Linked DNA regions of Callithrix jacchus. Each later gene encodes a partner of the first gene's protein in a complex. Links are inferred from orthologs where the notes say so. Each region holds a gene or a part of one and is shown in the gene's direction. Other genes may lie near its edges. The genes, in order: PLXNB1 and ARHGEF12.

Evidence for each region.
Region 2: the proteins of PLXNB1 (region 1) and ARHGEF12 are in contact, whole or in part, in an NMR structure (PDB 2OS6), measured with the Homo sapiens proteins. The link is inferred for Callithrix jacchus from reciprocal best matches to the Homo sapiens genes PLXNB1 and ARHGEF12. Residues at the interface, in NP_001123554.1 of Homo sapiens: Glu2129, Lys2131, Val2132, Thr2133, Asp2134, Leu2135; in NP_056128.1 of Homo sapiens: Phe82, Gly83, Leu84, Thr85, Val86, Ser87, Gly88, Asp89, His127, Val131, Lys135.

Annotation. Positions count from the first base shown.
Region 1 is NC_133516.1:31,046,615-31,062,124, reverse strand, and holds part of PLXNB1 (plexin-B1), read left to right. Parts: intron 1-879; coding exon 880-985; intron 986-1,163; coding exon 1,164-1,300; intron 1,301-1,570; coding exon 1,571-1,747; intron 1,748-1,973; coding exon 1,974-2,160; intron 2,161-2,280; coding exon 2,281-2,523; intron 2,524-3,240; coding exon 3,241-3,417; intron 3,418-3,492; coding exon 3,493-3,641; intron 3,642-4,164; coding exon 4,165-4,265; intron 4,266-4,363; coding exon 4,364-4,581; intron 4,582-4,698; coding exon 4,699-4,877; intron 4,878-5,012; coding exon 5,013-5,079; intron 5,080-5,306; coding exon 5,307-5,453; intron 5,454-6,368; coding exon 6,369-6,537; intron 6,538-6,840; coding exon 6,841-6,944; intron 6,945-7,018; coding exon 7,019-7,103; intron 7,104-7,320; coding exon 7,321-7,493; intron 7,494-7,664; coding exon 7,665-7,825; intron 7,826-7,918; coding exon 7,919-8,066; intron 8,067-10,941; coding exon 10,942-11,006; intron 11,007-11,132; coding exon 11,133-11,208; and 7 more. UniProt on the Homo sapiens protein: Receptor for SEMA4D. Plays a role in GABAergic synapse development. Mediates SEMA4A- and SEMA4D-dependent inhibitory synapse development. Plays a role in RHOA activation and subsequent changes of the actin cytoskeleton.
Region 2 is NC_133511.1:19,975,313-19,991,353, forward strand, and holds the start of ARHGEF12 (rho guanine nucleotide exchange factor 12), read left to right. Parts: upstream 1-8,756; 5' UTR 8,757-9,634; coding exon 9,635-9,666; intron 9,667-16,041. Other genes in the region: TLCD5 (TLC domain-containing protein 5), read left to right, coding at 1,009-1,207, 2,739-3,277. UniProt on the Homo sapiens protein: May play a role in the regulation of RhoA GTPase by guanine nucleotide-binding alpha-12 (GNA12) and alpha-13 (GNA13). Acts as guanine nucleotide exchange factor (GEF) for RhoA GTPase and may act as GTPase-activating protein (GAP) for GNA12 and GNA13.

The DNA of each region.
Region 1 (15,510 bases):
TATCAGAGTAACCTGCAGACCCTGCCCCAAACCAACACAGAGCAGATCCCAACTCCCCTCAGACATCTGGATTCAGGAGGCCCACAGTGGGGCCCCAAATCTGTGTTTGAAACAAGGAACCACTCTGCTAGAGCGTGGAGTTTCCCTTGAATGTGTTATGACCGAGAGCTTAAGGTGACTATCTAGACTGCTAATGCTCCAAAACCATAAGGCTAAAGCAATTTATGGAGCAATTAGCATATATATATTCTGTCCAGAGCCTCCCCTGCGTGGCTCACATGTCACTAGTCTTCCCAGTGTTCGAAACAACTGTGACAATGCCACTGAGTTGAGCTGCTGCAGGCTTGACATTCTGGAAGTTAATTTGCCCAAGCTTCTGTTTTCTGGCTAAGAACCAGCATTTTCTTAGACAGTTCACTTTCCCTTCATGTGTATTCCTCTATCTAACTAGAGGCTTTCAGGGACTCTTTTTCCTGAATAAATCAAGTTTCTACCATGCTTTGAGTGGGTACTGTGAATGTGACATGGCAGAGGACGTGGGCAGCTGGCTGTGCCCACTCACTAGCTCAGCAGCTCGCCCCACAACCAGGCTGACAGGGCGCCTTTGTAAATTTGTGCCACAGATAAATTATTCCTTGTCGGGGGCCTCTGGTGTTGAACTTAAATGATCAAAACTACAAATATTAATTCTCAGATACCAAGGCCTTTTGATGTGTCATAAAGAATTTCCTTCAAAGTGAGAGAGGGTCTCTGTTAATCTTGTGGAGGATTGGGAGGGGAAAATCACCTGACAGTGGGGCAGGGAGAGGGGCTACCAGGTAAGCTTGAGGGGGGCCCTCGGTGCAGCCTGGCACCCCATAGCCTGCCCTGTGCCCACAGCCTCGTGTGCATCACCGGGGCCAGTGGGGAGGAGGTGGCCGGTGCCGCAGCGGTGGAGGTGCCAGGAAGAGGACGCGGTGTCTCAGAGCACGACTTTGCCTACCAGGTACCTGACTGCTGAGCTACCCCCAGCTGCCAGTGGACCACCCCCTCTGGCGGCTCCTCTCAACCCATGTGGCTATGCCTTGGTGAGGTTTCCAGCCCTGGGCCATCCTGTCTCTCAGGTGGTCCCCACCTCCCTGTTTCTGGTCTGATGCTCATCTCTCTCCCTGTCCTTCCCACAGGACCCAAAGGTCCATTCCATCTTCCCGGCCCGCGGTCCCAGAGCTGGGGGCACCTGTCTCACCCTGAATGGCTCCAAGCTCCTGACTGGGCGGCTGGAGGACATCCGAGTGGTGGTTGGAGACCAGCCTTGTCACTTGTAAGGGCCACTTCCTCTTCCTGAAAAAATCCATGTGCTCCAGGGGGAAGATGGAGGAGGCTGGAATGCTGGGGAGAGCAGAAAGGGGAAAGGGCCAGTCTGCTCCTTCTGAGAGTGGCCAGACCCTCCCTAGCTGGCTGTCGTGGGAGTGCACCTCCAGGGACACCTGGTGGAGACTGCAGTCAGCGCTAGAGGGAGGACAGCTGGGGCCTGAGTGGTCTGAGATTCCCCTGCCTGCACCCCTCCATTCATTCCCACCTCCCCTCCCAGGTTGTCGGAACAGCAGTCAGAACAGCTGCGGTGTGAGACCAGCCCACACCCTGCGCCTGCCACACTCCCTGTGGCTGTGTGGTTTGGGGCCACGGAGAGGAGGCTTCAACATGGCCAGTTCAAGTACACCTCCGACCCCAACATCACCTCTGCTGGCCCCACCAAGAGCTTCCTCAGGTGCTGGGCCAAGGACATGGCTGCATGGCAGGTGGCAGGGAGATCTTTGTGGCTCCACCCTGTGGGGGTTTGTAGGGCTTTATGTTGGGGTGCTGAGAATCCCATGCTGCTGGTAGGGGTCGGGGGTCATGTGGTTTGGGGCCGGGGCTGAGCTGACCTAGCTGGGGCTGGGCTGTGCTTTAGGTCCAGCTCACGTAAGCCATCAGTGGCTCATGGTCTGTTTCAGTGGAGGACGTGAGATACGGGTCCGTGGCCAGAATCTGGATGTGGTGCAGACGCCAAGAATTAGAGTGACCATCATTTCAAGAATGCTGCAGCCCAGCCAGGGGCTTGGACGGAGGCGCCGCTTGGTCCCTGAAACAGCGTGTTCCCTGGGACCCTCCTGCAGTGGCCAGCATGTAGGACACCTTTGGGTACCTCCACACTCTCCCCTCACCCCACACCACACCCCGGGGACAGCCAGAGCAGGGGCCAGAGGAGGCTCTTCCCGTCTTTGCTTGGCCCCCTCATCAACCTGCCTGTCTTCCTTCCAGTTTGAGGAGCTGTGCCACGTCAACTCTTCCCAGCTCATCACGTGCCGCACACCCGCCCTCCCGGGCCTGCCGGAGAACCCCTGGGTCCGGGTGGAGTTTATCCTTGACAACCTGGTCTTTGACTTTGCAACACTGAACCCCACACCTTTCTCCTATGAAGCCGACCCCACCCTGCAGCCACTCAACCCTGAGGACCCCACCATGCCATTCCGGCACAAGCCTGGGAGTGTGTTCTCCGTGGAGGTACTGCTTCTACTTGGACCTGGCAGGGCCCCGAGACCTTTCCCTTGGCTGCATAGCACTGCTGTGTGTGGCAGAGGCTGAGACAGTAGAGCAGGGGCTGGTGGATGGACATGCCTCCTCGTCCTTGCTGTGGCGGGGCAGACGGGGCTGGCGGTGGGTTGCCTAGCTTAGCATCTGGCATGGCCTTGACTGCTTGGCTGGTGGCCAGGGTCCTGATGCGTTCCATGGCAGGCTCTGGAATGACTGCATTCATATGTTCGGCCTGTGCAGTAGCTGGGTGGTGTGGTCCACGCAGGCCACTGGGCTGATGCCCTGTTGGCAGCCTGGCTCACATGGATGTGTGCTAGTCACATGTCTTGGACATACACAGCGGGCAGCAGATAGGCGTGAGGACAGACCACAGGTAGATACAACCATCATTACCTACCTGGTGAGCCATCAGACACAGAGTGGGGCTCCGGCTTTGTTAGGTAACTGGGCAAGATTTGGGAGACAGCTTTATGTTCTCCGGATTTTTCATTCTGGCAAAGAAGAATAGGGAAGGGCAGAGAAGGGTGATGAGGATCAGCGTGGAGGACATCATGTGACTGGCCTGCACACAGGGGAAGGGTGCTGAGAGGATGTCAGCTCAGCCCTGCTGTTGGGAGTGGGTCTCAGGGTCCTTCCCATTTGGGGAGGACAGGATCTGAGAGACTGATTGGTGACCCTCTGTTCCAGGGGGAGAACCTGGACCTTGCAATGTCCAAGGAGGAGGTGGTGGCCATGATAGGGGACGGCCCCTGTGTGGTGAAGACGCTGACCCGGCACCACCTGTACTGTGAGCCCCCCATGGAGCAGCCCCTGCCACGGCACCATGCCCTCCGAGAGGCACCTGACGCTTTGCCTGAGTTCACAGTCAGTGGGCAGGTCCCTGGCCGGGCGGGCATTAACCTGGGCTGAACCCTCGCTCACAGGTGGCTCCCGACACAGGTGCAGATGGGGAACCTGCGCTTCTCCCTGGGTCACGTGCAGTATGACGGCGAGAGCCCTGGGGCTTTTCCTGTGGCAGCCCAGGTGGGCTTGGGGGTGGGCACCTCTCTTCTGGCTCTGGGTGTCATCATCATTGTCCTCATGTACAGGTGGGTGCAGCCAAATGTGGCTGGGCTGGGGCGGGTCATGGGATCTGGCTGGACTGGGAAGGGACAGACTGGGCTAGAAGTCAGCAAACGTTCTCTGTAAATGGCTAGAGAATAAATATTTTAGGCTTTGCAGGCCAAGTGGTCTTTGCTCAGCAACTCAACTTTGCTACTGTGGCACACAAGCAGCTGGGGCGATGCATAAACACACGAATGTGGCTGCATTCTAACAAACCTTGATTTATTAAAAGAGGTTGTGGGACAGATTCCGCCCGGTTGTGGTTGGCTGATCTCTAGGTGAAACTGTGCTGGGCTAGACAGGGCATGGGTGTATGTGACTTGCTTGGGAGGGGACAGGCTGAATTGTATCGGGCTAGGCTTCGGCTTGGCTGGCATGGCTGGGTTGGACTGTGCTGGATGTAGCCATGGTATGCCTGGGGCTAGGTCAGGCAGGGCTGGGCCAGTACGACCCAGTGAGGGTCTTGGCCTTATCCGGCTGTCCCCTCCTGGCCCTGGTGCTGAGCAGGAGGAAGAGCAAGCAGGCCCTGAGGGACTATAAGAAGGTTCAGATCCAGCTGGAGAATCTGGAGAGCAGCGTGCGTGACCGCTGCAAGAAGGAATTCACAGGTGCGGCCAGGAGAATGGGCCCTGCTCTCCAGGCTCTGTCCAAACCTGCTCCCATCGCATGGGATTGGTGCCCAAATCTGGCCTCTTCTGCTTAACAGACCTCATGACCGAGATGACCGATCTCACCAGTGACCTCCTGGGCAGCGGCATCCCCTTTCTTGACTACAAGGTGTATGCGGAGAGGATCTTCTTCCCTGGGCACCGCGAGTCACCCCTGCACCGGGACCTGGGTGTGCCTGAGAGCAGACGGCCCACCGTGGAGCAAGGGCTGGGGCAACTCTCTAACCTGCTCAACAGCAAGCTCTTCCTCACCAAGGTGCCCCCACCTGCACCTTCCTGGCCCGCCCTGGCTCTGCCCCTTCTCCAGGGCATGGTTTCTGAGCCCACGCCTCTGTCCCCCTAACTCCATTCTCCCATTCCTCTTTGAGTGCAGTTCATCCACACGCTGGAGAGCCAGCGCACCTTCTCAGCTCGGGACCGCGCCTACGTGGCATCGCTGCTCACTGTGGCACTGCATGGGAAGCTTGAGTACTTCACCGACATCCTCCGCACCCTGCTCAGTGACCTGGTTGCCCAGTATGTGGCCAAGAACCCCAAGCTGATGCTGCGCAGGTCTGTGTGGCTGTGGGGCTGGGTGGGCCCTGGACGGCTGGAGCTGGGATGGGGCCTCGGGCTGGGGGTCTGCAGGATAGAGAGGCCCGCAGTCCCGCCTGCTGACCCTGGCACTCCCCTTTCCTGTCATCTCAGGACAGAGACCGTGGTGGAGAAGCTGCTCACCAACTGGATGTCCATCTGCCTCTACACCTTTGTGAGGGTGAGGGGCAGAGGTGGACAGGGATCCCGTCCATGGAGGGTCAGGCCCTCCAGACCTCTAAGCCCTTAACTACCATGCAGCTTGGACACTTGTGCCAGAGCAGAGACTCCTGCTTAGCCTGTCCTCAGTCCCCTAAAGCCCATGTCCTGTCCCCTTCCCCGGTGTGCGTCATGTCCCATAACCTCTGCCACCTGCCGGGGGGCCCCTAACTGCCTGCACTCCTCTAGGACTCTGTAGGGGAGCCTCTGTACATGCTCTTCCGAGGGATTAAGCATCAAGTGGACAAGGGGCCAGTGGACAGTGTGACTGGCAAGGCCAAATACACCCTGAATGACAACCGCCTGCTCAGAGAGGACGTGGAGTACCGTCCCCTGGTGAGGGTGTGAGTGTGTGTGTGTGGAGTACCATCCCCTGGTGAGGATGTGCGTGTGTGTGTGTGTGTGTGGCATACCGTCCCCTGGTGAGGGTGTGCGTATGTGTGTGGAGTACTCTCCCCTGGTGAGGGTGTGTGTGTGTGTGGCCTGCAGTGTGAGTGTGAGGTGAGGATGAGGGTTGAGGGTGTGTGGGTGTGTGGTGTCTGAACACCAGCTTCTGATGTGGGTACCTGGATGGAGAGCTGGGCTGACCTCTGGCTGGCTGCTGGAGACAGCCCGTCAGACTAGCTTAGCAGGATAGCAGCTTAGGGCAGACCTTGATGATAAGGGCTCTGGGTGCCCCAGGCTAAGGATGAAACCCAGGTAGCCACAACCAGGGTTTGGGAGGAGCCAGCCCTGCCCTGGACATGGGCTTGAGCTGTGCTAGGGCCTGACCCTGTCTGCCTGGCCCTACCAGGGATGCGGCCTTGCCCCCCACGCCAGCCCCACTCTGGCAAGCACTTCTCTCCAGGTTCGCTTTCTCCTTAGTTATGCACGAAGATTCCTGTGGGAAACGCCCATTCAGGCCTGCTGAGCTCCTCCCCTGTCAGATGGATGGGAATATTTGCTCATGCAGGCATCCCAAAGCTCCTGCAGCCTGACCCATTCAGCCAGGAACCTGGGGACTGGTGCTCACTCATTTTTTTCTGCCATTTACCCCATAGTCATTTATAAGTGCACTATGCTAGGTGCTGGGGTCACAATGGGGAGGAAGCTGCTGTCCCTGGGGAAGGCAGGCAGCTGAAGAGATGAGAGTTAGGGAATGTGTGTGGGGGTCGGAGGCAGCGGCTCCCATGAGTTGTTCCTGCCCTTGGCCTGTGTCTTGGTCATCCTGAGTGTTCATGAATCCTGACGGCTTCTGTGTGTCCTGCATAGACCTTGAATGCGCTATTGGCTGTGGGACCTGGGGCAGGAGAGGCCCAGGGCGTGCCCGTGAAGGTCCTGGACTGTGACACCATCTCCCAGGCCAAGGAGAAGATGCTGGACCAGCTTTATAAAGGAGTGCCTCTCACCCAGCGGCCAGACCCTCACACCCTGGATGTTGGTGAGGGCATGGAGGGCCCCTGTGGACCTGAGCCAATGTTGGGCCTGGGATTGCCTTGCTCTGCAGGGACAGCTCATCACTCAGGGTGGGTAGGACGCTGGGAGGCAGGCAGAAGCCAGCTCTGGAGCATCTTTGTTGGATAGCCTCTCACCTGGGGAGGGGTCTCTGCTCTTGGTCTTTGGAGAGGTTGAGTAAGGCTGCCCCATGTTGGAGGGGCTGGTGTTCTTGTGGAGGAAGAGGTGGGCTTCACTGTGGGAAGGGTATCCTGCCGACCTTGCACCCAGTCCTGCCTTGCCCTTGCAGAGTGGCGGTCTGGAGTGGCCGGGCACCTCATTCTTTCTGACGAAGATGTCACTTCTGAGGTCCAGGGTCTGTGGAGGCGCCTGAACACGCTGCAGCATTACAAGGTGGGAGGGGTGGGAGCTGGAGGAGGGACTTGTGGGGAGGGGCTGGTGGAGGGATCACCAGCTGTGCTCAGCAGGTCCCAGATGGAGCAACTGTGGCCCTTGTTCCCTGCCTCACCAAGCATGTGCTTCGGGAAAACCAGGATTATGTCCCTGGAGAGCGTGAGTACCGTCCCCATCATAGCCTCTGCCCCTGCTGTGCCCAGCCCTGAGTCATGGGGAAGGTCCTTTGGGCCTCAGGGCAGGCTTGTGCCTATTTCCATTTTGCCCAGGGAAGCCCTCAACCAGGTGCCCCCACCCCTGGGAGACCTGGCAAGATCCCAGGGGCCTGGGGAGGTGGCACCTGGGGAGGGGTTACAGCTGTGGGCTCTTGCCACAGGGACCCCAATGCTGGAGGATGTAGATGAGGGGGGCATCCGGCCCTGGCACCTGGTGAAGCCAAGTGATGAGCCAGAGCCACCCAGGCCTCGGAGGGGCAGCCTTCGGGGTGGGGAGCGTGAGCGTGCCAAGGCCATCCCTGAGATCTACCTGACCCGCCTGCTGTCCATGAAGGTGGGATGGGGGCTGCCAAGTTGGTGGGGCCTGGCTGAGGGGGAGCAGGGCCACTCATGGGATTTGGGGGTGGTGTGGGGCTCTCGCAGGCACAGTGCTGGGGGTGTCTGAGTCTGGGCTGCTGCTGAGGCCACCTTGCTGACGGCACCTCCCTGCTTCCCCTTCCCTCAGGGTACCCTGCAGAAGTTCGTGGATGACCTGTTCCAGGTGATCCTCAGCACCAGCCGACCTGTGCCTCTTGCTGTTAAGTACTTCTTCGACTTGCTGGACGAGCAGGCCCAGCAGCATGGCATCTCCGACCAGGACACCATCCACATCTGGAAGACCAACAGGTGGGGTGGAGCCAGGTGGGCTCGAGGTGTGTGTGTGGGTCTTCTCTTCTGCCTCCCCAGCACACTCATTGGCCATGCTTGCCCTACCCACAGCTTGCCTCTGAGATTCTGGATCAATATAATAAAAAACCCGCAGTTTGTGTTTGACGTGCAGACATCTGATAACATGGATGCGGTGCTCCTTGTCATTGCACAGACCTTCATGGATGCCTGCACCCTGGCCGACCACAAGCTGGGCCGGGTGAGTGAGTCTAGGATGGACGTGGAGGGAGATGGGTGAGGGAGGACAGTGCTGTGTGTGTACTCAGATTCCAGGTTTTTCTGAGAATTTCAAAGAGAGGTTAAGGGGTAGACGTCTGACATCCCCAGGCCAAGGCTTCGTCCCAGGGGCTCCCTGGAAGGTGGCAATGCCTCAGTCTTAAGGGATGAGGAAGAGGAGGGAGGGGCATTGTGTGCCAACTCATAGGTAAAGTTGTGGGCAGCAAGTGCAGCCTGGTGTGGCTGGCTTTGGCAGGATCACTCCTGGGGCAGTGGGAGCCACAGAAGGTCTGGGAACGGGGAGTAGTGTGGCCAGACCTGAGAGTTTAGTGGAACATTGTGGCTGCTGTGCATTGATGAGCTGAGTGAGAGAGGCCCGAGAGGGCACTGTGCTGTCTTCCTGACAAGCAGTGATTGGGTTCAAGCTGAGCAGGAGGGTGCAGGGCAGGCAGATGCTGAAGGTCGGATGTCGAGGATGAGGAAGAAGGAGGGGTCACATATTCCTGGGCCTCTGGCTATGGTAAGGTTAGACTTGGAGGAGGTGTCTGGTGTTTGTGGGGCTTCCAGGTACAGACATGAATTATTCAATCCTGGAGCAGCTCCGGGCTGCTGGGTGGGTTTAATTTCTTAGGGTGCTGGAGGTGTCTGCCTGCCAGTGGGGAAGTAGGGAAAAGAGTCCGGCGTCATGGTTTGAGGGACGTGAGAGGAGGGGAGCTGGGAAGCACAGAAGACTGAGTGGTCTGAGCCATCCAGGAGCACAGAGTTTGGGAGTCTGTTGTCACAGCAGTCAAGGCCGGGAGTCCCCTGACATATGAGGTCCCCAGAGTGTCTGCTCAGGTGCCCAGGCAGGGCCCTCATGTGACTCTGCAGGTCCGTGAGTGGGGCTCTGCTTAGCATAGACCCTCAAATCTCAGTTGGCTTGGGACCTCTTGAGAGGTACATTCCTACCCCTCTGGGAAAAATCAAAATTAGCTGGGTATGGTGGCTCATGCCTAGAATCCCAGCACTTTGGGAGGCTATGGTGAGCGGACCACCTGAGGAGCTCAGGAGTTTGAGATCAGTCTGGGCCACATGGCAAACCTCATCTCTACAAAAAATACGAAAATCAGCCAGGAGTGGTGGTGTGTACCTGTGGTCCCAGCTACTTGGGAGGCTGAGGTGGAAGGATGGCTTGAGCCTGGGAGGTTGAAGCTGCAGTGAGCCATGAATGCGCCATCCACTGCACTTCAGTCTGGGTGACAGCATGAGACCCTGTCTCAAAACAAAAACAGAAATGGAAAGTTCTGTCCAAAATGGAAGCACTGTCTTTTGGGAGCCATCTTTGTTGCACATGCTGTCACCATTATGCCTATAATGAGCTAAGAACCAAAGTGCCACACCAGGACCTGGAGGGCCACCTCCAAGCTGGACCGCATGTGGTGGCCGGAACTCTTGCCAGATCTTCCGAGTACCTCCCTTTTCCAGCAGAACAGCAAATGGCTCCTGGGGAGCTCAGGAGTAGTCTGAATCAGGAGTGCCAAGGGGTCCCCCCATGGGGAGTTGTTGAGAAGGCACGAATCCTGACTCAGGTCGTCGGAGGAACTGGTCTTGGGTCCCTGCTCACAGGGGACACTGTTACCTCGAGATATTTCTCACCTTCTCAGCAGCTCTAGGATGAGGAGAGGTCCTGAGAATAGAAATATGCTGCCCAGCCGGGTGCAGCAGCTCATGCCTGTAATCCCAGTACTTTGGGAGGCCGAGGCAGGCAGATCACCTGAGGTTAGGAGTTTGAGACCAGTTTGACCAATATGGTGAAACCTCGTCCCTATTAAAAATACAAATATTAGCCAGATATGGTGATGGGCGCCTGTAGTCCCAGTTACTCAGGAGGCTGAGACAGGAGAATCACTTGAACCTAGGAGGCGGAGATTGCAGTGAGCCGAGATCGTGCCACTGTACTCTGGCCTGGGCAACAGAGCAAGACTCCATCTCAAAAAAAAGAAGTATGCTGCCCAGAGCCCATGGCTGCTGGGACTTGAACCCAGTTCAGTGGTAGAGGCTATATCTGGGTGTGTTAAAGTGGTGGAAACTGACTGGACAGACCTGCTTCAAATCTGAGCTCAGCCACTGGGGAGTGAGGTGGTCTGCCTGCATGCATCTTCCCATTTCTGTGCCTCTCTTGGTGGCACGGGCGTCCCCTCCACCTATCTCACTCCTGTACCATAGGTAATGTTCTGGGTCTCAGTTTGCTAATTTTTTTTTGAAATGGAGTTTTACTCTTGTTACCCAGGCTGGATTGCAATGGCATGATCTCGGCTCACTGCAATCTCCCCCTCCTGGGTTCAAGCAATTCTCCTGCCTCAGTCTCCTGAGTGTAGCTGGGACTATAGGCGCACGCCACCATGCCCAGCTAATTTTTGTATTTTTGGTAGAGACGGGGTTTCACCTTGTTGACCAGGATGGTCTTGATCTCTTGACCTCGTGATCCACCCGCCTCTGCCTCCCAAAGTGCTGGGATTATAGGCGTGAGCCACCGCGCATGGCCAGTCTGCTTATTTGTAAAATGATGATCCCCGGAGTGAACCGTGTGCTTCCTGCCCTGCGTACTTGCCTTTTGCTGGATCTAGACGGAGGCTAGAAATGATTTCCGATGACATCAGAGACTGGATATTGATGGAGGGGAGGGAGCAGAGGAGGCTCCTGTGGAAGGAAGTAGGCTAGGGTGACCACCTATCCTGGTTTTCTGGGACTCAGGGGCTTCCTCATTTTCTGAACTGAAGCAGTGCTGGGAAACCTAGGACATTTGATCACCTGAACAGGGGCCCTCATTCTTCCTTCCTTCCTTCCTTCCTCTTTTGCTGTCCTCCTGCTGTGTCCAGGACTCCCCGATCAACAAACTTCTGTATGCGCGGGACATCCCCCGGTATAAGCGGATGGTGGAAAGGTACTGGAGGGCGAGATGGTAGAGGTTGGAGGGTGTGTGCAGCTGAGGCCCAGAGAGTGGGCTTTGGTGGGGTTGGGGGAGTGGGCTTGTTTACCCAGCAGCGGCTGTGTTCTGGCTCTCTGGCAGGTACTATGCAGACATCAGACAGACTGTCCCAGCCAGCGACCAAGAGATGAACTCTGTCCTGGCTGAGCTGTCCTGGGTAAGGCCTCCCTCTGCTTCTTGGATTGGGCATAGGCTTCCCATCACAATGGTCCAGTCCCCTTCACACTGCCCCTTTGCAGGGAAGCCCTTGGGAACCTCAGCAGCCCTGTGAACTGGTTGGGGCAGGACACATAAGTGCAGAATGTTCCAACTGCCACTGAAAGACCAGGGTCCCCACCATCTCATCACAGAGCAAGCAGGGGTCTTGTCCTGGCAGCTGCCATGTACCCTGACTCAGCCAGGCATTTGCAAGGTAGCTGGGATTCGGCCCCATGCCTGCCTGGGTCTGCCTGCATGCGTTTTCCCACTGCTGTGCCTCCCTTGGTGGCATAGGTGTCCCCTCTACCCCTCCCACTCCTAAAACAGCCCTAAAATGTAACTCCAGGGAGTTTATGAACAATGTTTCTGAAATGATGATGATGACAACCACAGTACTCATAGCAGCTGTGCTTTTGGGGTGTTGTGTGTGAAGCCCTTCATGGGGTGCTTTGATTGTCTTATTTGATCCTCACAAGAACTCCGCAGGTTAGGTGACACCAACTCCATCGACCAGGTGAGGAAGTTGAGGCTCAGGATGGCCTCATGGAGGGGCCTGAGAGTAACCTCAGGAAATGCTTGAGTTAGACCAGAGCAGAATCATGCCGGGCTATCAGCCTGCAAGCAGCATCTGTGCCACTTGGCTCTGAAGTCACCTGGTGGCAGAGGGCCTGGGCTAGAACCTTGAGGGGGCAAGAGTGGAAACCCTAGGCCTTGCTGAAGCAGGCAGACCTGGGCTGTCTTCCCACTGAGGAGGCCCCCTTGCCCTGCCCTGTTGTGTCCCCAGCTGGGAATGCCTGGCCCAGGGTCCCTGAGCCTTGGAGGGGACTTTGCTTCCCACTGCAAGGCTCATCCCTTTCTCTACCTCTGAGGTCCCCTTCTCCCCAACCCTTCCCTGGGGTCCTGGGCCACCTCCTGTGGCTGGCTGCAACCCTCATCTCTCTCATCTCTCATTTGGCCTCTTCCCTAGAACTACTCCGGAGACCTTGGGGCACGAGTGGCCCTGCATGAACTCTACAAGTACATCAACAAGTACTATGACCAGGTGGGTAGGCCCTGGCCCCAACCGGGAGGCTGACCCAAGGCCTCTCAGGAGGCTTGAGAGGCTCTGGCAGGGACAGCATAGCCAGGGGCTGGGCCTCTCATGGTTTGGGAAGTGTTCTCCAGGTAGGCTTCCTGGTATTGGCTGTGCTCTCACCTATCCCACCACTCCCCATTCCAGTTCCCCAGCAGGGCGGCAAGACATGGTGCTGATGGTTGTGGGGCTGAGGGGTCTACCAGGGCCTGGAGATGGTGTGTATCTGCTGAGTTGGCAGCATGTTGGGCACAGCCAATATGCAGGTGCAGGCCTGGCTTGGCTGCACGAGCTGCCAAGAGAGAGTCCAGGCACAGGACCAGGGCTGTGAGGGTACCATGGAGCTGCTGAAGCTTTGTGGAGGATCCCTGGGCTGGGCCTGAAGATCTGAGCACCTGCCAGTGAACCTACTGGGTGCCTGTTGGAATAGTCCACTTAGATGTTTGTGTGGCACCAGTAACATGGCTGTTGCTGCTCAGAGATGAGGAACCTGCCTCATGACCCACAGCCTTCCTGGGCATGGTGTGGGCCATGGCATGGGGCGTGGGGGAGGCAGGGTATAATGCAGGCATGTCCCTTCATGGAGACATGGTGGGCAAGGGCTGTTTTCCCAAGTGCTGCTGCCCTCCCAGTTCCTACCGGTTCCCCTTGTGGCAGCCCCCAATTTGTGATTCGTGTTTGATCAATAGAATACTGATCATTCTTGGTGTCTGGTCATTCTTGGGTCTCTGTCCCTTGTCTGGCACTAGGCAGACAGGAACTTGGGAAATGCTGTTGGTTGGAGGGTGGGTGAGCCAGAATGGCGGGTGAGTGAGCCAGGATGGCTGCAGCAGGGTTTCTGAGGGGCTCGGTACAAAGTAAAGTCCTTCATTTCCTACCTTATTAATCCTGAAACCCCATGTGGCTTTGATGTTATTACCCCTCCCGCTGATGAGGCCCTGAGGTCACAGAAAGTACATGAAGTGACTAGCTGGGTTTCTTGGCCTCCTACCCCACTCGTGCTACAGCGTCTTAGGAGGCCCATTTAATTCTGCAGCAAACACGTTGGCCAGAGAAGTCTCCCCTGATGGCATCTGTCTCTGTTTCAGATCATCACTGCCCTGGAGGAGGATGGTACAGCCCAGAAGATGCAGCTAGGCTATCGGCTCCAGCAGATAGCAGCTGCTGTGGAAAACAAGGTCACAGATCTATAGGGACCCAGGAGCTATGACCTGCTATTGCCTCAGCCTGGCTGGGGCAGCCCTGGAAGCTTGTGGGAGAGGCCACCCTCCTAGATGCCTGTAGTGACTGACAAGCAGAGTTAGTGGAAGGTGACTCCCCGTCCGTTTCCTGGTGGCTCTGGCCTCAGGCCTGCTGGACCCACCTCCCAGGCCCAGGGCCTCAAGGCTCATGGGGTGGTACCCAGCCTGCTTCCCAAACCCAGTGACCCTGTGACATCGGTCTGCAGGGAGCTGGGGACTAAGGGCTTCCAGAGAGTGGCCAGAAGAGCCTCCAGGCCCTGGGGAGACTGTACTGTTTCTGAACACTGGCCTTGGCCCCACTGGGATTCAGAGAGGAAGGAGGAAAGCCCCACGCTTCCTGTGTGCCTCCTCCACCATCCCTGACCTCAGTTGAGCTGCCTCTGGCCTTGTTGCTGCTGCCACATTCTAGGTCTAGGATATGAACACCTCTCCTAGGCCACTGCAGACAGACCCCTCAGCAGGGCTGGCTGCCACAGGGCTGCCCTGCCTCACAGGTAGCCAAGGTGAGGGCCATCTGCTGCAGGGGGTCTTGGGGAGAGTGGTGGCTCCATTGACCCAGCTCTTAATTAAAGGCTAAAACACTGCGCAGAATCTGATGTGTGAGCCTGGCCCAGCCCCACGCTACTAGGAGGGTGGCCGCTATGCCTGGCAGGTACCAGTGGGAGGTGGTATCTGTACCCTGGGGGAGTTTCATGGTCTCCCCAACATATCCCAGACTGCAGGACTGGCTGAGGCTCTCCTTGACTCCTGAGCAGGGCCTGGTGGGGTCACAGCTTCTGTGAAGGAAGTGAGAACCGCATCTGGGGCAGGGTTGGTGACCGAGATAGAGGGTCCACAGTTTCTTCAAGGGGGCCCACTTTATCTGCAGTTTGTGTATCCCCACTTCTCCACTCATGTTCTATTTGTCTTGAAAGGGACTAGGAAAGGATGACATCATTACAGGCAACTGTAGGCAGATGGGGTCTCAAGGACTATTTTCCATAGTCCTGTTCCCAGACTTAGGGTTTCTGTGTTGATTTCCAAATCAGGGCCTCCTGGGGCCGGCTCCTAAACTGACTGCCTGCATGAAGGCTGTCTTAGATGGCTTTTCCTAACTGGTAGCTGGAGGTAAGCTTGGAGACCATCTTATCTGGTCTCATGTTGCTAGCTGGGTTTCTAGGGCAGGGGGTTGATACCCCTCTTGACTGAGACCACCCTCGGCCTCAGCAGAAGTCCAGCCCCCCATGGAACAGATGAGATAGGGTGGCAGCTATGCCTGGCAGATGAGAGGAGGACCCTTCAGCCTTGAGGCCTTCAGAGGGCTCATCCCTTTGGCCCTCTGCTTACTCTCCATAACCCAGCGACCCTCAGCGTTTCCTCCCGCCTGGCACAGACACTCCTCCCCTCAGGGGTCTTCACTGAGCGTTTGAAGAGGCAGAGACTGATAGAATTCCAGGAGGACTCCTATCCCCTGCCTCTTTTTGGCCCTAAATAAAACCATCTGCAGGGTCCTTGTCCCTTAGGAGCCATGTTGGTCTTGTTTGTGCCAGGGGTGGTCATAGCTGCTATTCTTTGCAGTGGCTCCAATGTCCCTTTCCCATTTCTGCTGGATGTGGGGACCACAGTGAGGTCAGCAGCCAGGTGCCATCATTTGGGAGCATGTGAGCTTGGATGCTCTGGCCAGGTTTTCATAGCCATCCAGAATGGTCCTACCTGTTCCCCCATTGGCTGCTCTGGCCAAACCGTGGAATTGATCGCCATCTTGACCATCTCAGGGAGCAGGGCAGATGAGAAATCCAGTTTGGGGTGGAATTCAAGCAGGCACAGAGGGAAGCAGCCTTGGCCAACATCACAGACCTCGACAGAGCCATGCCTCTGTTCCAGAGGCCTCTCTGTTCCAGGTTCAGGCCCCTGCAGGTTTTAGGGGCAGGGGAAGGCTGCTGGGAGAGGGAGGCCATGTGCTTGTAAG
Region 2 (16,041 bases), on another chromosome or scaffold:
GCTTGTGTATTGACATCCACAGATACTGTTTCGCTGGTCTGAACAAGGTTAAGCAATAAGCATAGCCATGCAGAAAATTCCTGCTGAGATGAAACAGATACCTGAAATGTTTTTGACTTTTTATTTGTACTTTTCAATGGAGGAGCTAATGAATACTAATAACAACATCTTCGTCATTTTTAGATTTTAGTCCTGTGTGACTAAATTGACTCCTTTATAGTTGTTCTTGTCCTAATGTATTTGTCACTAGTAAAAGTTCCAAGGTACAGCATTCTGGCTTCATTTTTAACTGAATAATTGCCTTAAGGATATTTTTAGATCTCAGCAAAAACTCCCCACCTCTTGTATATTAGAATCCTTCTGCTTCACTCTTGGCAAATCTTTGGGTTGGATTTCAGAACTGAATAAAGCCAGGATTTTCCCCCAACCTCCAAGATGTCTGGACTCTTTGTTCAGTTCTATATTTAAGTTTATCCCAAGTTTTGATTTTGACTGATAAACCTGTGACCCAAATCCAAACCCCAGCTGAATTTAGTATCAGCTTAAGACCACATTAAACTGTCATGTGTCATGTGACCTCTAGCAGAAACCAAGGTGGCCGTGTTCTGTTTTTTCATGAGCGCTTTTCATTGGGGTTTTTGAACTGTGAAGACATTATTTAATACATGTACTTTATTATCCGTGTATTATTGGCCAGTCATCACTGGAGGGTTATTATTGACATTTACTCATCACAAAATGTGATGCCAGCCTACCAGCTCGGAGTGCAGTTCCTGATTTCTGGTTTACAACATTCACCAGTTGCTAACATGTTGTCTCGGAGGAACTTGGAATTATAAATACAGCCATGCTTTAGAAGATTCTTGGCTGTGTAGATAAGCAAGATAAGACAAGGCAGTATTTTTGAACTATTCTGTAATAGAAATGAGGACATATACACAACATGACCCAATGCTGTTTTCTTAGGGTGCATCCTTTGTTTTCTGGTTTTGGTCTTTTCATCATAGGATGGCATTAGCTCTGTGTCTGCAGGTGCTGTGCAGCCTGTGTGGCTGGCTCTTGCTCTATATTTCTTTCTGCCACCTGAATAAGCACCGAAGCTATGAGTGGAACTGCCGGCTGGTCACCTTCACCCATGGAGTCCTCTCTATAGGCCTCTCCGCTTATATTGGCTTCATTGATGGCCCATGGCCTTTTACCCACCCAGGTAGGTAGGGGATTTTTCCTTAGGGATTTATGATTTGGGGGTAGTCTTAGAAGGATGTGATTTTAAAATAGAATTTGTACAATATTGAAAATTAACTCCCATTATAATTTTGTATTGGAATCCTCTTCTTCATTAACTCTGCTATTGTTTATGTTGCCTGTTGTTTCTGCTTTTTGTAACTCTACTTTTAAAACAACTTTTAAATTGCTTGTTGCAGTTTTAATCAGAAATATAAAAACCACAAAGCCAATATCAACATCTTCCACTACCACCCTGCCCTCCGCCAAAAGACACAAATAGAACTGTATTATACATATTTTTGGCAACTTGCAACTTTTACTTGACTGTCTGTTCAAAAGACATCTTTCCATGTCTGCGTTAAGAGGATGAGATGCTCCATATCCTTTTTAATTGTTACTAGATGTCCAAGTGTTACTTTCATAAATATAAAAATTTTACACCCTTAATCGGCTGGGGCTGCCATAACACAGTGCCACAGAGTGGGTGACTTAAAGAGATGTTTATTTTCTTGTAATTCTAGAGGGTAGAAGTCCAAGTTCAAGGTGTTAGCAGGTCTGGTTTCTTCTGAAGCCTCTGTCCTTGGCTTGCGCCCTGCCACTGTGTCCTTACATGGTCACCCCCTCTGTGTGTGTGTGTGTGTGTGCGCGCACGCGTGCATATCTGTGTCCTAATCCCTTATTTGTAAGATGACAGTCACATTGGATTACTCTAATTACGCTATTTTAACTTGATTACCTCTTTCAAGGCCCTATTTCCAAATACGCTCACATTTTGAGGTACTACCGGTTAAGGGCTTTAACATATGAATTTGGGGAGGGGGGACACAATACAGCCCTTAACTTCCCTGGAATATAATTTTAAAAATATTTCTTTAGATTCTCTTATTGAGTTTCTGAGTTTTCCCCCAAATTGTCAAAGTGATGAAAGCAATGGTTAAGCTTTGTGTTTTATATGAAGGTTCTAAATGGTTTCAAATATGTCAGGCCCCTGAAACCCATGTTCCTGGGCATGAGAACACACTCAGTTTTGCGGCCCTCTCCAGAGTCTACTTTCGGGATGAGTTGGGGCCACTGAGTGTTCATAACCTAACCCATTAAGCTGAGAAAAAAAATATGACATTTGGGAAATGACTCAAGAGTCTGGAACTAAACCTTTAGCAGGGTTAAAAAAAATAGTTTAGGATTTTAATTAAAGGAACAAAATAACTGGATTTTACGCTGTTCCACAGAGAGGACACTGAGATTATTGCCTGCATTCATTGAAGGATGCAAACTCGCTGAAGTCTGATTCATCAGAAAAGCGTTTCCTGGGGTCTAAACATCGTTTCATTTGATAAAGACCTTGATTTTATATTTTAGTGTTTCTTTGGTTCTCATTAAAAAGCACGTGCCTGCCATTGTTTTTGCTCCTTTAATGTTCAATAAGGTTTGAAAGAGAACAACATAGGACACCTGTGCAAGGTAGCACAATTCCCAGTCACTCAATTTGCTTCTGTCTTGGTTTATTTCAGGCTCACCCAATACACCTCTCCAAGTTCACGTTCTGTGTCTCACCTTGGGCTACTTCATCTTCGACTTGGGCTGGTGCATCTACTTCCAGTCTGAGGGTGCCTTGATGCTGGCTCATCACACATTGAGCATCTTGGGCATTATCATGGCCCTCGTGCTTGGGGAGTCCGGCACAGAGGTCAATGCAGTCCTCTTTGGAAGTGAGCTTACCAACCCCTTGCTACAGATGCGCTGGTTTCTCCGGGAAACAGGGCACTATCACAGTTTCACTGGAGATGTTGTGGACTTCCTCTTTGTGGCTCTGTTCACAGGAGTGAGGATTGGTGTAGGAGCTCGCCTCCTTTTCTGTGAAATGGTCTCCCCCACGCCTAAGTGGTTCGTGAAGGTTGGGGGAGTAGCAATGTATGCTGTGTCTTGGTGTTTTATGTTTAGCATCTGGCGCTTTGCATGGAGGAAGAGCATCAAGAAGTACCATGCTTGGAGAAGCAGGCGGAGTGAGGAACGGCAGCTGAAACACAATGGACATCTCAAAATACACTAGCCAAGGCTTGCTCCAGGTTATGGATTGGGTTAAGTCAGCCGTGGGAACCAGGTTGGAAATATGACTGTTACGGAATTATGCTTATAACAAACTTAGGTTTCAAAAAAAGGGCTAAATTTATCGATCAATTTGGTCAGTCTTCAAGCCGGGCATATTTCAGTATTAAAACCCTAACTTCTACAGTGGCACAGTTGTAGAAAGTGAGAATACTCCTTGGTAGTTGGGATTAAGAACTGTGAAGCGAGTACTACAGGCATTTGCTTTCATTTGTGGTGACCCTGGGTCCTCCTTCCCTGGGAGGTTTGATGTCCGGGCAGCTTAGAAAGGAACTCGAAAGATTAGTGCCATTTCTTGTTCCTTTGAGAAGTAACTCTTTCAATAAACACTGATTTCTGCTTTCCATGTAGCAATTTATCTAAGTTTACCCCATTTACTATAAAGTGAGGGGCTTTTAGGAAGACACACGCCTTTGGCATTTTGAACATTTGATCAGGGAATTAGTTCTGCTTAAACAGAGGGGGATAGGAGGGCGAGAGTAAAACTGGCAGTGAGGAGGAGGGTTACTTACTGAACCTCCTATACCAACTGTGCTAGAGGTCCCCAAGACCACTGTCAGGTTACGTGATTCTCTGGGAGGACTCAGAGGACTCAGCATATAGTCTTACTCATAGTTCTGATTTATTATAGTGAAAAATACAAAGAAAAATCCGTAAAAGGAGAAGGCACCTGAGAAAAAGTCTCGGGAAACTAGGCACAAGCTTCCAGAGTCCACTCCCAGTGGGATCACACAGGATACGCTTAATTCCCCTAGCAATGATTTGTGACATGCGAATGGGTTGTCTACGGGAGAACGTCATTACAGACTCAGTGCCCAAAGTTTTTACTGGGGACAGGTCATCTAGGCAGCCTTTCTCTAGCGGGGAGCAAAATTCAAGACTCTCAAAAGGAAAACAGGTGTCCAGCATAAGCCATATTATTTGCATAAACAGTTCAGATACAGTAAACCAGTCTTATCAGTTAATGGTGGGAGCCCTTCCAAAATCTAAGTTCCCAAATGCCGGCCAGTGGCCAACCCTGTAATCAGGCCTCTCCAAGGATAGCAGTTTAGGCCTGCTATGTTAACTCTTTGATGCACAAAACCTATAGAGTTAGGGCTTTGGATTTGAGATGAATGAAGTGTGGGAGATTTACTGAGTTCTGTTATACAGTTCTGCCCTACCAGGAAAACTATGCCAGTTCTCAGGGCTTTTGTGCATTAATCTCCTAGGCATTTGAGGCTATGACTAAATTCCATAGGGATTTACCATGTGGATTCCACTGTGCTTGAGATGGCAGTTTAGATTTCAGCTCTGCTGTACATATTGCAAACTAGAACCAAAGACTTTAAAGTATGTACTGGCCTCAGGGGGGTGAGGTTAATTTCTTTTTTTCATTTTAGATACATTCCCTTTTAGTACTCTTCCCTTTTTCTTATTTCTATTAAAAAGGTACCACTCTATGGACAAACTAATATGACAAGGTCAATCTTGAAAGGAAAAAACATAATAATTCTTAGTGTGACAGTCTCCAAGAGAAGCAAGAACATAAACTTAGAACAAGGGGTTAAGAATCAAGAATTCCTGGGTTCTTTTAACTAATTTCGCTACTCACTTGCCAGATCATTTGGATAGGTTACTCGTTTATTATTTGTCTGAGTTTAAACCTATTGTAAATGAATAAAATACCCTGTTATATATTTCATAGAGACATTATGTGGCATTTTATTAATGGAGGTCTTTAAAATAGGGCTTTTATGGAAATATGAAGTATTTATTGATTATTTTTACCATGTTATTTAGTTCAATGATGTTTGACTAGCTCAGTGGGTGAGCAAGCATATGGTGCTACTGGAGCCAAGGCTGGTCAGTAGGAAGTGTCAGTCCATTCCATGGCCACTGGTAATCTCACGTAATGAGGAGTCTCGAAAATGGATGTCTTGGCCACAGAAACCAAGCATGAGGGAGTGGTTGGAATGGTGTAAAGTCATCACTGTTAAGGGAACAGTAACTTTAAAAGCATGTTAACAGTGGATCTTTCAAAATAATATGAAAGAGTTTTGCTGGTCATTGAGATAATCTGACAGCATCTCCACTCTTTTTTTTTAATCTCCACTTTTTATTTTTTCTATCATGAGTGCCCCTAAAATGCTGGTGAGCTTCTTTCCAACAAAATTGCAGTCAAAGTAGGATGCTGGGGAATGCTGATTTTAGCAAAAGCCTAGCAGAAAAGAGTGGCTTGGCACATGAGCTTAAAAAATAAAAAAGCTGGCTCTTGAATTTTGGCACAGTGCAACCTGTTCCATACCAGACAAATGAACAGGCTTAATCTGGTACCAATTCTTTTTCTCTCTTACTCCCCAGAAGTGAAGGGACTGCAGATCTTGCTGTTTGGAGACACTTTCATTGGAATGTATATAGGTTTTTTTGAATGGTGAGAAATCTGAATAATTGGTAAGGGGAAGGGAATCCCTCATTTCAGCTTTTCTTGATGTTGTCACTAATAACTATGAAAAAAACCTCTGAGAGAACAATGTGAACTGAAGATGACTCAGCAGTTAAGATAATGCTCAGTTTTGAAACCACAGGTAAATGAAGGGCTAATTAATGTGTGGTATACTTGGACAAAATGAAGTACTCATTTGCACTGGATTACTATGTAATGATAACTAACACTGTTCAAGAAGGATTTATATTTCCATAAGATTTGTACTAAATTTTATAAAAGTAAAACAACTTTTTATAAATCCAGAGTCTGTCTTTATATTTTTGCGGTGGTTTTGCCAAGAAGTTAAAAAAAAGCCTTTTGACCTGTAGAAATGTTGACCTGTATTCATACTTGTGAATATCTCTAATCTGCTGTTCATTATCAATCATTCACGATATTTTTTATTTTGGGGGGGGGTAACAATTGATATACAGAAAACAGTCTGCCAAAAGAGAGAGGAAGAACCTTAATTTGTTTCTTGTTCTGCCACCTGTTTGGACACTTGCATTTAAAGTGGTAGTGCAAGTGAGCTGACATCAGAAACATCATCTGAAGACAGCTGGGGGCCCTGTCTTGAGGACAGTACTTCCAATGCCTAAAACAGTCTGGGATGCATAGTAGATACTTAATAAACATGTTGAAAGAATGGACGAGAGGATAAGAATGTAGTTTAGAATAATGCCCATTGGGAAACCTCCTCAAAGAGCATGTCCAGTGGATTGGGTCATCAGTGTCATTTTTCTAGGTAAAGCACTACTGGCCCTGAGGAGTATGTTCTCCGTAGACTGGCTTGACTTTCTGAAGGCATCCTATAGTCTCTAGAACAGTTGAGCTACCAGCAGCTTTAAAGAGGATTTCAGGTATTTTTTTTTTGTTTCATTAATGCTTTGTAGGCGACTATAGAGATTTTCATCATTTAAAAAAATTAATTCTGGAATGAATAACCACTGGCTTAATTCAATCCTTTGCCTACCATCTTCTGAAGCTTTCCCACAGCAAAATGCCTTCTTTGCTCACAGCTAGAACCGTGGGTCTGTTTAAGTTTGGAAAGATCTTGAAAGCAACTTGCCAAGAGGTTTTGTATGCAAGGAAGAGAAGGTGAATTAGGAAACTTTCCCAGTTCGTTTTATTCCTGAAGCTTAAGTATTGAGGCTTCCTTAAAGTATTAAAGGAAGAAGGGAACTCATTTTTAAAATGCATGATTTGATGAGTCATTGGGTTCAATTAATTGATACTTACACTGTAACATTGTTAGAATAGGGGAGCATAAGATATTTAGTACTTTTAAGAAAGATTTTTTAAAATTTGGTGATAAGGTTTGCATTTTGGCCAGTGTATGTATGTATAGATAGATAGATAGATAGATAGATAGATAGATAGATAGAAAGACAGACAGACAGACAGATAGATAGACAGACATACAGATAGATAGACATACAGATAGATAGATAGACAGACAGATAGATGAATGAATGGGATTCCAGTTACATGTAAACACTCAATTTTTAAGTCTTCAGGGTAGAATCGTTATGCTAGGATTCGCCAGCAGGTGGCAATGTGTCTTGGTTTCATCATTAGGAAAGTCTCTTGGCTAATCTGCTTCTATTCTTTCCAAAAATAAACATTACAGAATTAGCTGGCTGTGCCTTGAACCTAAAAAATCAAGCAATAAAGAGTCGTCTCTGGCCTCTGTTTATCTTTTCCGCTTTTTTTTTTTTTTACCCCGTTCTAACTAACGTCAGCTTGAGCTCATGCCTCTATTCGGGGATAATGATCCTTGCATGAACTGTTTCAGAATGACTTTTTGCGACAGTATTGTTAGGAGGTAATTGTTTCCTCTCTCCACATCCATTGTTTATTAGATTGATTTGCTATTTGGATTCCACAAAATGGCTGAAATCCCTTGCCACCAACATAGAGGTCTAAGCTCAAAAGTCTGAAAATAGTTGGGTACAGGGAATAGCCACTTTAGCCGTTTGCAGGCAGAATTGAAGAACTGTATTGTATGTAGTACTTAAATTGCCATAATACTGAATTATTCAATCATAAAATTAGATGAGTATCTACATCTCTCTACCCAGTAGGGGAAAAAAAACGAAAAATCGTCTGGGAACCCTTCAGAGAACCGTAATGCTATTTATTGGATAAATATACTTCTTTTTCTTCTCCCATTTCTTTCCACAACACGCTTGTTAAGTCGCTATGGAAAGCACCATGCTTTCTCAATTTGGCAAATAACACATTTCATTTTGCCAAGTCAGAAACAGCCTAAAAGCAATATTTATACCGAGGAGCCCTGGCTGCAGTCCCCAACTGCTCCCCCGCAGCCCGGAGCCTCCCGCTCCCGCCGCGCTCTCCCGCCGGGGCCGACAGGTGCCCAGGTGAGCGGGGTCTCCAGTAGCGCTAGCGGCGGGTGCCGGCCCGGCACAGGCAGATCACGCGCAGCCAGGAAACAGGAGCGCCGAGTACATTCCCTTAAGGAATAAATGTTTCCAGGACAAGTCGGTCCGGTAATTTCCAAAGAGCCTCCGGCACAATGTCCACGGGGTCTGGGGGGCGCTCTCGGCGGTCTGTGGTGAAAGTCGACTCAGTACAAACTGGACTCGAAGGGGCAGGTCTCGGCACTCAGGGCTCCGGGCGCCGCGGGAGGTGGGTGGGCCTCCCAAGGCCGCACGGGTCCCACCTCCCTCCGCCCCGCAGGACTACTTTTCCGCTCCCCCCAAACCGGGCTCCGGCGGAGGCGTCCGCGCGGAGGCCAAAGAGCGAGTCTGACAGGCGGAGGGATCCCGGGTGAGGCGGCTTCCCGAAGTCTGAGAGGAGGGGGCCAAAAAAGTCAGCGGGGGACGGGAAGCGCGAGCTCGCGCTGGACGCCGCCGGGGCCGGGAAGCCAGGACCGGAACCGGAACCCGCGCGCGCGCCCGTGGTTGCGCGGCCCCCACCGCCGTCGGCCTTCTCCGTCGTCTGCGCGCGCGCCCGCGAGGGCCTCCAGAACCCGGCGAGCCGGCCCTGCGCGGGGAGTCGCCGCCGCCGCCGCTGCCGCCGCCTCCGCCTCCGGGGCCAGGGCTTCCAGGCCGGGCCGGACGGGCATCTCCCGCCCCTCGCGGGGAGCGTCGGGGAGGAGCCGCCGCCTCTGGCGACTGCGGAAGAGTCCGGGCCTCAAAGGGATGGGGAGCAGTCCGCGGCGCTGAGAGACCCGGGTCCCTGTCACCTTGGGCCGCGGGACCCCTCCCCCGGCGGCCGCGGCTCGTCCCAGCGCCAGGAGCCTGGTGGGGGCGGCGACCACAGGAGGAGAGCCCCGGGCCCGGGACATGGAACCGCGCGAGCCCGGCGCGGGACGGCCGGAGACGCGGCAGACGCTGCGGCCACGAGCAGCCGGCAGCCCCAGATAGAGAGCGGGGAGGGAGGGCCCCGGCCCTGCCGCGGCGGGGAGTTCGAGGCCCCGAGACTCCGGAGGAGGAGCCGACACCCGTCCCTGAGCTGCTGATCCCGCCCCAGCCCCGGCGGGAGTCCCGGGTCCCCTTCCCACGGCTCGCGGACTTCTCTCTGAGGAAGTTTCTCCTTGTGCCCCTGGAGGATTTCTCACTATCTCTACTCGCTCTGGACTGACTCGCTCCCTGGCTTTCTCAGTTTGTTTTGGGAGATAACTTGTTTTGCTCCAACCCGCATCCCTTGACCTCTTCCAATCGGATGGTCTAGATGACTGAATGGAGTTTTGAGTTGGACTTTTGCGTCCCTGACGGAGTTGGGCCTGATCCCAGAGCACTGGGGGTGGGGAGGAGGTGTTACTGTAAAATGCAAGTTGGATAAAAGGAGGATCTCTCGCCAAGGGCCCCAATGAGTGGCACACAGTCTACTATCACCGACAGGTTGGTATGAATTCCTCCTCTCGGCCTCCCGGAATTGGGCCCGACCTAGCAGCGGAGTCGGTGATTGCAGATTGCCTTTGGCCAGCGAAGTTGACAGGCAGAGGAGAGAGGGTTGTTTCGGAGCTGTGCAGTTAGCTCCGGGTTGCTGCCAGTTAGCCAGTTGATTGGCTTTTGGAAATGTAGTTTTTCTGGAGAGAAACTTCCCTCCCGATTCTCGGAGAAGGGGGCGGTAAAGCCATGATTGTGGTTTTCCGCCTGTAGTGTGCATTAGGGTTGTGTACTCATCTGGAAATCAGAAGAGAAGGTCATTTGGGGTGAAGGTCGCTGTCTGAAGTCGGCTTGGTATTGGTGTATTGTTTTTCGGTTTTAGCCCTGTCCTGCAGTAGTTCTCAAGACAATTACATTTTAGGAATTTCTACCTGTGAACGTAATGTTGAGCCTACTGCATGGTCCTCTGGGAACCTGATCTCTTTTAGATGTTGACCTGCACAGTGTTTAATTATTATCTAATAACTTTCCAGAATGTTGACATTACCAGTAAATCACAGGTTCTTGCTGGAGACAGTGTCCAGGAGCTGAAGAAATGAGGGTAAATCATGGGGTTTGCTTTTAATTCTTGTATTTAAAGGTTTCATCTTCCAGAGACACTTGGCGTTTAAAACATATAAACCCATAAGCACAGTATAAGCGTGCAGCTTAATTTGTTGAATTCTGTGTCTGCCCTTTATAGCACTTATCAATGTTGCATGCTGGTGTGGGGCGAATTGAGCTAGACCATGTGTGGTTGAAGTGCAGTTTGCTTTTCCTAAGAGTTACTCTTCTCATAGGGTAAGGGATAAAAGCATATTGATTTCTTCACCACATTTCACTTCTCAATTTAATTATGACACTGTATGCCAGTCCCAAATTTGTCAGCTTGCTTTATTTTTAAGTCAGTCTTCAAACTATTACATTATGAAAAAATAGATCAGGTAACTGAATTAGAGTGCCAAAGCTCTTTGATGAAAAGTGCAACAATAGTGCTTTTGCACAAAGTAGTTTAATTTCCTAATAAGAATTTTACCCAATTGTAAGACTCATTTGTTGATTTTAAAGAGCCAAATTCCATTATCATACCATAACAGCTACTCCAGAAACAGAACTAACTTCCTCTTCCTGTTGATGCTTTTCAGCGTCACATGAATGTTCACTTAAAAGAGTCCGTTAAATATTTAAAGTATTTATATTTACTCTGTGTATTTTTCAAAATGGCTTTTCATTTTCAATGAAATAATGTTTAATTTTTGCAAGAATACACTTAAGTATTGACAGTGCTTATCTTGCTGTCTTCTTGTTATCCCCATTTTTTTCCTTTCAGGGTATTTTTTCTTCTGAGAAATCACTTTCACGGGTGTAGGGATAATTGTTTTCCTGGTTCATTCAATTCTTGGTCTTTCTGTTGAGCCTGTAGACAAGAGGTCTTACTAAGAACTAATGTAATGTTGGTTTTCATTGCGATACTGAGCTGTTTAATTTATAGAAACAGAATGAACTCATTCCACACACAAATCACTTAAAAGCCCTCAAGTAATGATTTTTCTTCAGCAGTGCTTCTCAGGGATTTTTCTTCACATTATCTTGGAAATAGAATCTTGGGATTTGTATCTTCTTTATAACTTAGATGGCATATAAACATTCAATAAGGATGAAATTACTGGAAGCCTGTTTTTTTTTGTTTGTTTTTTTTTGTGTGTGGCCAGGCACTGTGCTAGGCACAAGAGATTACAAAATGAATATCGTAAGATTAATCTACAAATTGGTTTGGGCATTAATGTTTTTCGAACTGGTTTGGGTGCTCCCTAATTTTACATATTTTTTTAAAAAAGAAAAAACCCTTGGAAAGCCAATTAGTAAGCACTGCTGAGACCTGTTTCGTCGATTTACTACTTTTTTTATTATTAAGAATTATTCTTATTTGACCACTGCTTTTTCTTTAAATACATTTTGTAAATATAAAGCATCCATTTGCTCTTAAGAGAGGTGAAATCTGGAGGTACTGGTTTAATATTATTTCTATACCAGGGTGTCTTAACAAGGTTATCAGCAGAGAATAGTTTCTAGCTTTCTCTCAGCCCTAACTCCAGTTAGTTTTACACTAACTGGAGATAAGTTAGAGTTTTACACTAACTCCAGTGTACTGTAGATATATTTTGCTGATTCTAGAACTATTGGAAAATTAACAGCGCCAGTGTAGCTTTTTAGATAGAGATCCTTTCAAGTTTGAAGTGCTGTATGTGGTATGGCTTTGTTTTGTAGAGTGTGCAGAACCACCAGGCCAGCTGTGTGAGTTAGAGTTCTTTCATTGTGGTGCTTCTGACTACAGAGTCTGTCTGTCCTCAGTTGAAATCAGACTAGATGGTTTTGGGCGTTGTTCTGTTTTGCAGTTTGTGGCAGGCGACACATGGCTGAACAAGATAAGGGTTTTATTCTTGTGTTAGGGACGTGCTGGGGCTGGGATGGAATTCAGCTATGTTTAGGCTCTGATTGGTCACTTTGGATACTCAGAACTCTCTTACATCCTGTTATTATTTTGCAGTTAAATCAACACATTCACTTGTTCTCTTTCTTTTCATCTTTTACTCCCCAGTCTGTACCCCCTTTTCTTAAAACCTAAAACTCGAACTCTTTTTAAAACTTAAAACTCAACCTATGTTCATGGTAGCTATTGCTTCTATGTAGTATATCCAAACAGCTTTAAAAAAAATTCTAAGCAGTTTATGAACAGTCTTTTGCTTTTATTTGTGAAACCTAGAGTCCGTAGTTTTCATCGTTGAGAACGAGCACTTGACAAGTGGTAGAGATGTCTGATTGCTGCTGTTCAGTCTGCTTTGGTTGCTCTATTCAATATTAAAATATATCCTCATTGTTTCCAATCCTCCAACATGTCCTTCTTGTATCCCTGAGAATTTAGGGGTTCAATAGCAATTGGAATTTCTTCTGAGAGGTAGAAGGGAGAGAATGCTCTTTCAATAGACTCAGTAAATGATTTCAGGCCAACGTGTATAACATTGAATTTTCAGGGACAGTACAGTTAGGAAAATTACAAGGGTCTTCCTTGAAATAAATGGAATTTTGTTTTGCCTAGGGCTTATGAATTTTGTAGTTTTTGACTTATAGATAAACATAGGTTTTTGATATAATTTTTTAAGTACCAAATTCAGCTTTAAGCTATTTAACTTAAGCAAATTTTTTAAATGAGTGTGGAAACCTGTGACTTTATTGTGTCTCTACCCAGTAATTAGCGTTTTCATTAATGATACTTTCATCAGCAAAATTGCTATATAATGCTTTTGACTAAAAAAAAGAACTACTCATGTTTACATGTTATTTTCAACATTGCATGAATCATATATCTGTAAGGTAAAATTATTTGTAAACTTTTCTCATAGAGTCAGCCAGTCAATAAATAGAAAATGGAAATGGGGGCTAAGGATCACAGTGTTAGTTTTGTATTCAGTTTTATCTTTGCCTCTTTAGTTGCGTATAAAATCTTGAGTCATAAAGGTATGCAATAGTACAGTCACTTGGACAGTTTTACATGAGTCAACATGCAGAGCCTAAAGTAACTTTTTTTGAAAGTACAGAGTTGTAGCTTTCCTGATTAATGGTATATTATATGATGTTCATATTCATTGAGGTCACAAGAGAAGCTTTATTTGAAATCTTTACAAAAATATGTTAACCTTGGAATACCACGTAACACATTGGTGGTTTCCAGTTGTTAACATGTATATACCATTGAGATGTAGGTTTTTTTTTTTTTTTTTTTTTTTTTTTTTTGAGACTGAGTCTTGCTCTGTCACCCAGGCTGGAGTGCAGTGGTGTGATCGTGGCTCACTGCATCCTCTGCCTCCCAAGTTCAAGCGATTCTCCTGCCTCAGCCTCCCAAGTAGCTGGGTTTACAGGCGTCTGCCACCATGCCTGTCTGATTTTTGTACTTTTAGTAGAGATGGGGTTTCACTATGTTGGCCAGGGTGGTCTTGAACTCCTGACCTTAGCTGATCTGTGTGCCTTGGCCTTTCAGAGTGCTTGGGATTACAGGCTTGAGCCACCAAGCTGGGCAGGTTTTTTTTTTTTTTTTTAAATTAAGTTTGAGTTTTCAGTTTAAAAAATGAAGTTTGAGGCAAACATTCATGGAATACATAAATGGTGAATTTTACTTATTTTTCTGTGGAGCATTGCAGTTCCAAGGGAAGACAGTTGGAAAATATTTCGTTGTACATATGTGGTCTAAATGACATCCAGAACTGGGTATGAATTGCTTCCCAAACTGATAGGGATCACAGAAACAGCAGGATGACATACCGGTTCCCAGAGGTAACTGAAGGAACTCTTTTGCATCATGGTTGTCTCATTGCTATCAATGTTTCTTATGTAATTGCTTGTTTCCTAGAAATTGACCATGACACATACTCAGGAGTAATAGCTTAACTTCCTTTGGTCTTCTGTTAAAACTTGGTTTTGATAATGTTCTTGAGCTTTATTTGAAGACATGCTCCTTTTCCTTTTAATAATTACAGGTTTTCAAAATAGTGCCATGTGAATGAAAATGTTTGAATCAACAAAGTTATAATTTTGCCTTCTTTTGGTAAAATAGCATCATGTATGTAATGATATCCTGTGATAGTATAATTCTTTAACATTTACAATATTTTCAATTTGGTACAGGGCAGATCATGTTTCTGTCATGCTATAAGGTAATTCATACAGTTTAAATCAAGATTATAAAACTAGAAAGGACAGACCAAGGATTTTAACCTAGATTTTCTGGCTTTTAAGTCTCCCATTTGTTTTGCTTTAAGTTATTGTCTGTCCTTGTACTATATTTTTCTGTACTATTTTTCTTTAGTAACTCTCCAACTTGATGAAGTCAGTTGAAGTTTTCTCTTACAGCATACTTTCTAGTACCTTACCCGTTCTAATTTTAAATATCTCTTGAGGATGAAAGCTTTTGTCATTTCCTAAGGAGACTAAAGAGTATGGTAATCTGATAGATCTTGCCGTCAGGAAGTTTTTCCCGATCTTTAGCTCAAACTTTTCTTTTAAGTTGTCCTGTTACTTGTATGTACTTGCTGTACCAGGCTAAACAATGCTCTCCTCCCATTTTATGTTTGTATGATTCTAAATGTTTCAGACGGTTATTCATTATCCTTTCCGGTCCCTTTCCCTTACTCTTTGCTTAGCCAAGTTTTATGCTTTCCGTTGATCCATTGTCTAAAAATCAACTTGTTTCTCTTAATACTTTATTAGCTTTCTCTCAGTTGCTCTCCTAGTGCAAAAATGTGGGTAAAGAGATTCTCAAGGTCATTTTGATTCACTTTTTAGATAGTCTATAGAATGGATATGAGATGTGTCACAGTCAAATGAAACAAACACATTTATACAAACACCAACTAATTAAGCAATTACTCATGTTATAAAAGGCTTTTTTACAAAGTGATTCTTTCAAATAAGAGTACTGTCAACAAATGTTATCAATTATATGACAAAAGGGTAGGGTATAGAAATAATGTTAGCCACTGTTGGTTGAAAATCATCTTGTTGCGATGTGATGAAATACATCAGGAAGTTGTTAATTTTTTTTTGGTGGTTTTTTAGTCCCTTATCTTAATTGTAGGCCATTTCACCCAATGTTTTGGTTTATTTTTACCTTATTGTTTTGTCACCTCTTATTTTCACATATTAGTGAAATAGCAATGCTTAGCAGTATTTTTTTCTTCAGCAAAATGGATGTTGTGAAAATTGAAATATTTTATTTTCTTGCTGTTGTATTTGCAAGAATTGTTAATAATGACAAGACACAGTAACAGAAAAAGTGCATATTATTAAAAAATCTATAAGACTGTAGACCTTTTGAATATTTTATTAGACCTTTTTCCTTGGTACTAATTTAGTTTCAGATTATTGAAATTGTCCTTGTTTCGTATATTGCTAATATTAATATTTTGTATTTTGGTAATATTAAAATTTGCAAACATGCCAAATTTAGAGCATTTTACTTTTTCAACTTAGAATATCTGGAAGCATCAAGACAGTCATATAGGAAAAACAGTTGTAAGGCACCTTCTAACTCCAAGAGAAGCCTATGAAGCTAGCGCCTGGTCAGAGGCTGTGCCTAAGTTACGTGAGCATGTATTGTTGACTTTTAGTACAAGAAAAAATACACTCTTGAGTTAGCATGCACCAGTGCAGTTTAGATTCATACCAAAACAGGGTCTTTTACTGATTCAAATGCTGGTCCAGGTTTTCGAGATCATAGTCACATGACAGCCCTGGGTGGTTCTCAGTGTCTACAGACAAGCAAATCTAATGGCCAATGAAAAGGAGGTTTCCTGT